Linked DNA regions of Drosophila melanogaster. The protein of the gene in region 1 interacts with the protein of each later gene in a pairwise test. Each region holds a gene or a part of one and is shown on either strand. Other genes may lie near its edges. The genes, in order: CG17841 and Sam-S.

Region 1 (5,073 bases):
ATTAAGACAGAGATGGGTAAAACAAAAGAGATGGAGAAATAAGCAAATAACTGCGAAGCACCCATTGTCGAGTTCACTTACACACGGCCGACGCAAGTTCCGATGCACTGCAAGTGATGGCCAAAAGGATCGCAATTTGCGCGCACGCACTACCGACACTCTTCGCCATTGTTCAACCGTTATTTCAGCCGTTGCGAGTGAAAAGTAAAGTACGAATGCTGAGCAACTAGAGATGGTACGCCATGCTAGGCTTAATCGATAGGTACGATGCGGCCAGATAAACTGAAATAATCGATAAAATATCGCTTATCGTTTAGAATTCGATCTATTCGATAGGGTGTCCAATTTTAAAAAATGTTCGATAAATACGTGTAAAATATATTCAGAAATGCAGTCGAGTACAAATAAAAATAAACAATTCAGCACATTTACGCTTGAAAATGTTATGCTAAATAGCATACATTCCCTTATCCCGACCATTGATTATAGTTGTACACCTCGTTGGGCGAGCAGAGATTCGGATAGTTGGAGTTTCGTCCTGTAGTGCATTCCGAGGCAGCGGTTCCCGCCCTGTAAACCGGGTTATTCACCACATTGGTGACCGCGTAGTTGCAAGCCAGCAGGGTGGCCTGCACATTGTTGGCGTCCGTAAATCGAGCAATCGCACAACCCACTCGGTTATTTCGCTCGTTGACCATGGTGGTGAAGTGGCCAATTGCTCTGGAAAGGAGTTAATGGGATTACCAAACTCGCTACGGCTTGGTGGTGTACTTACGGTCCACCGCGCATCTGATAGTCCTCCATGTCGCCACTGGTCGCATCCCGATTCTCATCGAACCAGGCGGCGATCCGTTGGCGCAGGAAGACCGCCACATCCACACTTCGGGTGAAGAGAATGCTCAGATTCTGGCCGGCATAGCGATACGTGTTCGTGTTGCGGCATTCGTCGTGCGCCATGCGGCACTGCAGCGCATTGTAGGCGGCCAGTTGGGCCAGTGTCGTGTCCCAGGACATTGTGGCCATTTGGACGGCACTGGGGAAGCCACTAACTCCACCGCCAGCGATCAGGTTGCGGCGTTCGTTGTGCAGCTGGAGAATCAGCGGGATGTGGGCATCCACTTGGACAAACTCGCCGCTGCAACCGCTCACAAAGCGCTAGAAAAAGTCGACGAACAGGATTAGACAGGATAGAACGTGAGAGCGTTGGAAACAGGTACAGTTGAACCTTCGTAACTATGGAAGTTCAACTTCATTTGTGCAGATTTATCATCGTGTGCATCAACTTACACCGCTGTTTTGGCAGGCCACGTGTCTTCCACTGGGACACAGTTCTGGATCGCAATAGTTTTGTGCGAAAGTAAAAGTGAAAATGATAAGGACCAAATATAAAAGGAAAATCCAGCAGGGAGATCGTGACATTTTGGTTTCATATACGCAAAATTACTAAATTTGCTACACATTTCGCAAACAGACATAACGTTCAATGAATGGAGCGACGCACGTATTTATTTAGGCCGCAGTCTGTCTTTTGATTTTGCGACGAAGTAAACAAGTGCTTTATTAAAAAAAAAACATATTTAATACATATATGCTGATTGAATGAATGCACGCTCGAGTACAGTGCGGACCATAAGTAAATATTAGTTACTTGTTTTGTTTTATCCCGTAAGTCCCTTCGAATGCTGCTGTGTATTTTTAAATGTTGCAAAATAATTAAAGACAATTTCGAAGACTTTTTCAAAATGTCAAGATATAATCCCCGTGATGGGCTAAAGCCGTGACACAAACCAACGGCTAGTGGTATTCTTATCGTTATCGCTGCAGTTATGTCTTGCAAATATTAAGCTATATATAAGTGCCGTTACTATGCCCAAAATTAGTCCGAGCTCAATTTGATAATTGATATTACAAATTTGAATTAGTTTGCATTTCATCAGGGGTGCTCTCCCAAAATCAAGTTTGGTATTTAAAGTGCGCTTGGTGTGTGGCCACACCGGCCGATAGGCACGCACAATCGAAGAACGATTGCCACCGATTGGTTGCGACGACGAATCCGCACGAATCCATGAGCCCTCGCACCGCCGAGTCTTCCAGCTCCTCCCGATCGCCCAGTCGTCCAATCGCCATGTCCCAGACGCAGTGCCGCCTGTAAACAACCGCCGAGTGAAGTCCGCAGCCCGCAGTCATCGGTAGCAGCAGCGTCAGGAGTCCGGAATCCGTTTCTCGGTTTCCGCAACAGGTTGCGTCGCCTTCGCCAACAGAAGGTTTTAGTGCGAGCTTTGATCAGAGCGTGGAGTGCGTATACGCGCCAGGATGCAGCAGCGCCGACAGCCGGCGAATGGCAACGGCAGAGGAGGAGGAACCACCGCCGCCGTCCGTACGGAGGAGCAGCAACAACAGCAGCAGCCATTGAGTCAGGATGCTGGCGCCAAGGAGGCGGGCAGCACGCCGGGCAAGGCAACGGGACGCGGCTGCTATTTCTCGCTGGCCTTCTCCATCGGTTCGATGGGCCTGGCCTGCGGCAGCCTGTGGCAGATACCGAACAGCAGTGACCGCATCTCGCTGCAGCGCGGCCTGGTGCTCACCTCGCTGGGATTCATCTATTTTGTCTCGCTAACGGACTTCTGCAACAAATACCTGCTGGAGACGACGCATGGACAGCGCTTTCGTCGCAAGTACCGCCTGATGATGTCCGACGTCCTGGAGATAACCAACAAGTGAGTAGGAGTGGACGCCCACGCAATGCACGGATGCGGCTGTCTTGCACGCACATTAGTATCGATTTTCCCGCACTGCCACCCACACACGCACTTACTGCACTTGCGTTATGCAGCCGAACGGGGTATTGGCGGGTGGTGGGGGCTTTCCATCCAAATAACTCTGTGGCAGCCAATAGTTGCCCTTTTCTCGACCACATGATCTACGCAATCTATTTATGCGTTTCTAATACTTATATAAGTTCATAATTATAGACACTTCTGTGTTGGCTAAATCATTACCATGAGTGCAACTGGAGCGATTTAGTTAAATTCTCATGTTACTCATATTTCCACACAGACTTAGTTAGACTTTTGGGTTGAAATTCAGATAGCTAAAGATACAGCTAGATGCTGTCATCGATTACGTAGGTAATTGTTGGCCCAAGTAACAGGTAGTCTCACCATCAATCATATTCCCGCCTTACGTCTTTGGGCGAGCATGACGATGACTCACCCAGTGACATTACGCTGCGGAGCTTAATTAGGTTAGACTATGAAGTGGAAACCTACCCAAGTGGCTACCCTCCCTACCTTCAGTCTTATCTTGGGCAATTTATTAGCGGGCGCGAGTTAATAGTGAGTGCCTAGCCCAGTTTTAAGTACGCATTTTGGAGGGCACTTGCTCATCGACGTGTAGACAGATGGAATCGAGCGCGCTCGGCTGGACGCTGGCTGGTGTCCCCGACATTCGGCAATGGCGTTCCTTAGCCGACACTGATTTATATCATCATCTCGAGCACAGCGACATGCGGGTCAAGGTCTCGTGGCGGGCGTGGGATGTGGGCGGTGGGCGGTTGGATAGAACGGGTTTTGGCTCAAGGCGAGTCGGGTTTCGAAACGGAATAATTGCGTGGAGAACAAGCATCCATCGACTTGACGACGCATTTAACTAGCCAGTGAAACATGCTCCAATTTCGCAAAGCACAAATATATCCTGAAATTCAATTGTCCATTTGGCAAAAGGCATTTGTGATCTATTCTCCCTTGCTTGAGCGAGTGAAATTATTTCACAGCTTTTCAATTCATCTGATGCAAGCGTACAAAACGGCCATTTATTAGTAATTGCCCAACTATGGAGTGCCCCTTGCCTAACTATTACCCCCGCAGTCCAAAGTGTTAATTAAACTGTGTGTAGAATTGTTTAACGCGCTTAAATTGAGTTTCGCTCTCTTCTCATTTCGTATCTACTCCCCTCCTGCCCTCATCACCGCCAACTGCGATTACAAACATGCACATTTGTCATGATGAAACAGAGAGTGCCGGTCTATATGGGTAACGCCATGTGTGCCCAATTGCTGTACAGGTGTTATACAACCCGATCTCTGGACGGGAATTGGCTCAATCTGCTTTATCAGTAGACTTGGATAAGCGCTCATCACATGCTTTCTTCCACAATGAGGTGTATACTAGATCTTGGGTTCTCTTCTTTACCATTTGTAAAGACTTTTCCCTTTCTCAATTTAAGTTGAGCTACAGAATTTACTGCCTTAGTTATGCTATTCAAATTGTATGCATGGAATCTATTAGTATCCGCATGACCCGGGTTACGCATCTAATCATCAAAGACCCTGCCAGACGACCCAATTTCCTGGTGGCTAATTGATTCACCACGATCGTTGTAAGTCCAACAGACGCACTTCACCTCCACGCTGGGCGATAAGGCAATCAGCCGGGGCTCTAGTGATTGGCCCCGCCTATCTGCCCGTCCTCTATCTATCTATCTATCCGGGTCTGTCTGCTCTGGCTTCTGCTATCGGGGAAACGAATCGATTTGGGTGAGTGAGTGCATCTAGCATTGATAAGCGGCTTGTCGTTAGATGCTTAGAAGGAGGCTTTCGAAAAGCTCGAGAATATTGCGAGGAAAAACTGGGTATGACAACAAACAACAACAAGCAACCAAACAACGTAGAACTATTTAAAAAAAATTTTCCATCGCCACTACTCGCCATTTCCCCGAGCCCTTGACTTTCGTCATAAATCTTAATTGGACATAGTTGAGGCTATTTGTTTATTTACATTACCGCTGGCTCGCTTGGATTGTGGACATTCGTGGCGCTTTGATGGCGACTCAGTAACCGATATCTAAATCACATTCGATACGATTCGATTGCCCTATCGTGGCCCAACCCAGATATTATACAGCACCTGTACGCGAATACATATAGATTCGCATGTGTAACATACATATGTGTATATATATAGTGGGTATAATATAGCCGACGACTATATAGTAAAATGCGCAGCCGGTAGCGGGGCGCAGTGACACCTTTTGGGACCATTCATTAGGTAGAACCGGCTGCGCTTCTAATTGGAA
Region 2 (4,919 bases), on another chromosome or scaffold:
AAATCCTGGGAGTCGGATTCATCTGATACCAGTCGGGTTGCTCGCGCTTGCCTCAAAACTTGGCGCGTAATTGGAGTCCGTCAACATTCGGCTACTTTTCGTAGTAAAGGCGTTATTGAACTCGAACATGCGTCAGCAATAGCAACATAAATTACCAAAACTGTTGACTCATAGAAATGGCGCATGGTATCGATTTCGGCTGGGATAATGATTGCGAGGAAACTAGTTAGGTCAAGGGTTTAAAGTAGCTACTCTGAAATGGGTTTCAGGGTTTCCAATTTCCGGCTAGTCTAATTATCTATTCTAACAAGTCCGTCACTCATTTATTACAAAAAGACAGGCGATATTAATGTCAACCATTTGGGGTGTATTCTTCTGAATGGCACTCGGCGCTTATCATCACGATTGTATAGGGCTAGATTGTCTAGGGCTAGCTTGCCAAGCCGACTTAATTAGCATTATAAAATAAAATAGTATAGAATAGTAAAAGTAATCAATGCGTAGTATAAAAGGTCGCTCGGCTTATCAACAGCTGTTGTCAAACACACTACTATACTGGTCGCCACTGCTGATATAAACAAACTCTGGGAGGGGCGAAAAGATCGAGCTCGAGCAAAACACGTGGTTGGCAATTTCGGTGAAAAAAATAAGCTTTGACAGCGGTCTAGAAAAATGTAAGGTATGTTTGTGTTGGCCGTTGTTTTGATCGCCATCTGCGATCAAATGAACAAGTGCGTGGACAACGTAGAACAACGTAGAGAATACTTGAATTTCGCATCTCCCATGAGCCACAAGCACATGGTGCGCATGACGTAGTCTCTCTGTACACACATACATACATATGTGAGAGCCGCAAACGATAAAGAACCAGTCTATTAATTGCGTCTGCCCATCCAAGCACAAGGTTTAGCCCGCTGTTGTGCGGGGATTTCAAGAGAAGCCAGCTGTTCTCCGTGGTCCCAGCTTTCCGGCTTGGTCACCGGGCGATGCAACAGAGGCACGTTTTACTAGCTCTTCTTCCCGTTCTCAGCCTCTGTTCAAGTCGTGCAAATTGGGTAGAAATCAACAAAGGTATGGACATAATTTCGTCGCCATTTTGTTAGAGTTCAGGCGGTAAGCAGAAGTGAGTAGACGGTGGAGGTGTGGAACTGGGTATACAGGGAAAGGGACTTCAGACAGAAGGGCCTCAGACGCTAGAGAATCAGTTTGGTCAGGTTATGAGAACTGACAGGCAACATCTCTCACCACGCCCGAAGGGGCATTTGAGATTGTTTCTTTTTTTACACTGACACTATCGGTATGATGCAATAGGAGGCGCCGCAGATGCAATGAAGCACTCACCTGGATGACCCTCGCCAACGGACTCGGAAGTGAACAGGAATGTAGCTCCGTCTTCCATGTCATATGAGTTGCCATTGCTGCCGTTGCATCCGTTGGCGCTATGTCCGTTTGTCTTTTGCGGCATGTTGATGGGTAGTTTGTAATATGTAACTCGAAGTTTGAAGGGGCAATGGGGGAGCAGTGCTATAACCCGAGTTCCGGTCGGCTAAATTGTTGGTGGAGCTGGGGGAACAGAGAGAAAGAGAGGCCACATTAGCGGTTGTTAAAAAACGCTTAACGAAATTGATTTTCCGAACTCTTGCAAAACACATCTATTTTCGCATTCGCGAATCTAAGCTATAGGCCGCCTCGAGGCTGTTGGGATTTTCCGGTATTCGCACACTTTTCGTTATAGTTTTTTTTATATAATCGCCCTTCTTTTATGTTTTTATGCTGCGCGTTTGCCACAATCGTCGCTACATACATGAGACGCACGTTGAGCGGGTTCAAAGCTAAACTAGTCGCTAGGTGAGGGCTCGGTGCTGCTAGCTGTTTAAAATGCGTGTTCGACGTTCTAGCTATTAGTTCAACAAATTATACACACTGATTCTGAGTTATACTGGTTCAGCGACGGCAACCAAATCAGCGGCGCAGCCAACACACGTCCTATCTTAGCGACGGTTCTGAAGAAAAAGAGCGCAACTTTTTAATGCCATTCAGAATTTATACCTCCAACGAGAGAGCGGGCTTTTGCTTATCGTCGCAAACGGAGGAGGCGGTTCTCTTCGGCTGACTCGATTATTATTTTGAGACTTATTTGGGCGCTCTTTAGGGAAACTTTCCTAGCGTTCTCGGTACTCTCAAATGATTTTACTTCTTCAGTATCTCCACGTTTTTGGGTTTTAAGCAGCTGTTCCGCCGCCCAGCGTTGCCACCCCGCTCCGGAGTGAACTGTAGTGAATCTAGATCCAGATCCTTTATTTTATACTCACTGTGGTTTTGAACAAAGGATCAGACAAGATATGGATTATAGTCTCGACTAGCTTCCTGCTCAACCTGCGTTCAACTGCGGATGATTTTTACAGACGAATAATATTTATAAATTTTTGTAGACAGCATTTGAGAAGATGAGTCGGCAAGAAATAAGAGCTTATCAGAACAAAACTATGTGCTACCACGGCAGCCACCTATATACCTAATTTTTAAAATCTGTTTAGCATTGCTCTCTCGGCTTCTCTTATGTACAGCAATTGACATATACATATTCGATGATATAGACAATCGCTACACGAAGCGCAATTCGAAGCGAATTTTTAAACGAATGTCTGTATCTGTTGAAACCCTAGCTTTTCCCTAACATGGAGTGACTGCCCTTTTGGAGATGGATCGTTCGACACTATCTTGTCAAGGAAAGTCGTCAATTAGGGTTCTCATACTATTCGAACAATTTGTGCTTTTGAAAAAGTGCTTACGTCATGCCACAGCCAAGAAGACAAACAAGGTCTGCCAAGATCAAGGAGCCTGGTAATCAGTTTTTGCATGTACATTTTTTAAAATTCTAATACCCACTGAATATAACCGAAAACAACAAGCCCCATTATCTTTCAAATAAGGTGTGACCCCACGGGGCCTAAGAAGATCGCGTGTGCCTGAACGAACAGATGCGCAGGGCACATTATTCTTGAGCACAAATGGTGGGTGCTTGCGAACTGTAGATTGTGGCAATGCATTTATTTTACTGATTTATCGTCAGTTATTGTAATAGCCTTAACTAAACAATTTATCACTTTGCCAATAACAAGGTTTTTTATTATTTCACTTTTCTAATACATATATAATTTTCTTTTTGCCGTAAGAAACGTTCTCAATACGTAGACAAAAATATTTAAACTTAAAATGCTCAATTTTCAAGACACTTCACAAGAGCTATCAGCTACAATGACTGGGCAAAAGCCAATTATTTAAATAAATTCATTATATGGTAAAATATACTGCACGCAATTAAGTGCACAATTTTCTTTTGAATATATGAAAGGCACGCGCCAATAAGCCAAAATGATACGGCAACTCTCCCCGATATACGTCAGATAGGGCGATAAACAGATGTTTGTGAAAAAACAAATTGAACAAATAGTGAAAAGTTAAATGCGAGCGTTAATAGCGACCACGTCACGTTTTGTCGGCAAAAATGAGGGTTTGGGTAGCTTATAGTGCAGCTGCACTCTTACTGTTGGTGCACGCGGGTCCGGAAAGCATCAGTGGACAGGAGGTGCCCCAAAGCAAAACATCAAGCAACACCACCACTACAGATAATAGTAGCTCTATCCACACCGTTTCGGATGTCTTCGTCAACAGTCCGCTTGGAAATGTCACGCCCTCGATTTCTGCATCTGGTAATGCAAGCACCACGAAAAGGGGAAACGCATCCACATTGGTCACAGATCCGCCTCTAATCGATTCCCATGCTGTCGAGCAGGAGCACAACTCCTCACTCTCACTGTTTTTCGTCATCTGCGTTATCATGTTGGGCATCCTGCTTATCCACTCTATGCTCCAGACCGGGTTCCAGTACCTGCCAGAAAGCATTGTGGTAGTCTTTCTGGGCGCCTTTATTGGCCTTTCGCTGAACGTTATGTCTGGGCAGAATGGCAGTTGGAAACGTGAAGAGGTCTTCTCGCCCATGGGCTTCTTTCTGGTGCTCCTGCCGCCCATTATATTCGAGTCCGGTTACAATCTGCACAAGGGAAACTTCTTTCAGAACATCGGATCCATACTGGTCTTTGCCATATTCGGTACAACAATTTCTGCACTAGTCATCGGGGCGGGGATTTACCTGCTGGGCCTGGGGGAGGTGGCATTTCGGCAAGTTTAAAATAAATTGTCAATTTCATTCAATAATTTATCCTAAATTTTAGCCTAAGCTTTTCGGAATCCTTTGCCTTCGGTTCTCTCATCTCTGCTGTTGATCCTGTGGCAACAGTGGCAATTTTCCATGCTCTTGACGTAGACCCCATACTCAACATGTTGGTATTCGGCGAAAGCATCCTCAACGACGCCATATCTATTGTGCTGACTGCATCCATAACCCAATCCGCTAACGTCAATGCTGAGGCCAGCACTGGAGAAGCCATGTTCAGCGCGTTGAAGACCTTTTGCGCGATGTTCTTTGCTTCGGCGGGCATTGGAGTCATATTTGCACTAATTTCGGCTCTTCTTCTGAAGCACATCGATTTACGAAAGCATCCATCCCTCGAGTTCGCGATGATGCTAATGTTTACTTACGCACCTTACGTCTTGGCAGAGGGAATACACTTAAGCGGTATATCAATGTTGTTGACTATGACTCTAAAAGCTAAACATTTTTTTCAACTATAGGTATTATGGCTATACTATTTTGCGGAATCGTCATGTCCCACTACACGCATTTCAACCTATCCACTGTAAGTCATATGATATCCCTATTTTATATATTATTAAAACTTTTTTAATCGTAGGTTACCCAAATTACCATGCAGCAGACGATGAGGACACTAGCTTTCATTGCTGAGACCTGCGTGTTTGCTTATCTGGGATTAGCAATCTTTTCTTTTAAACACCAA

The links.
Region 2: the proteins of CG17841 (region 1) and Sam-S interact in a two-hybrid assay, tested with the Drosophila melanogaster proteins (one large-scale study listed by BioGRID).

Annotation. Positions count from the first base shown.
Region 1 is NC_004354.4:10,366,043-10,371,115, forward strand, and holds the start of CG17841 (uncharacterized protein), read left to right. Parts: upstream 1-2,009; 5' UTR 2,010-2,313; coding exon 2,314-2,717; intron 2,718-5,073. Other genes in the region: l(1)G0289 (lethal (1) G0289), read right to left, coding at 82-169; CG32679 (uncharacterized protein), read right to left, coding at 468-720, 776-1,155, 1,288-1,419.
Region 2 is NT_033779.5:105,232-110,150, reverse strand, and holds the start of Sam-S (S-adenosylmethionine synthetase), read right to left. Parts: upstream 3,249-4,919; 5' UTR 3,151-3,248; intron 2,391-3,150; exon of another isoform or gene 2,387-2,390; 5' UTR 2,313-2,386; exon of another isoform or gene 1,805-2,312; intron 1,564-1,804; 5' UTR 1,466-1,563; coding exon 1,342-1,465; intron 558-1,341; exon of another isoform or gene 401-557; coding exon of another isoform or gene 358-400; intron 1-357. Other genes in the region: Nhe1 (Na[+]/H[+] hydrogen exchanger 1), read left to right, coding at 3,509-4,182, 4,236-4,639, 4,696-4,760, 4,815-4,919. UniProt on the Drosophila melanogaster protein: Catalyzes the formation of S-adenosylmethionine from methionine and ATP. The reaction comprises two steps that are both catalyzed by the same enzyme: formation of S-adenosylmethionine (AdoMet) and triphosphate, and subsequent hydrolysis of the triphosphate.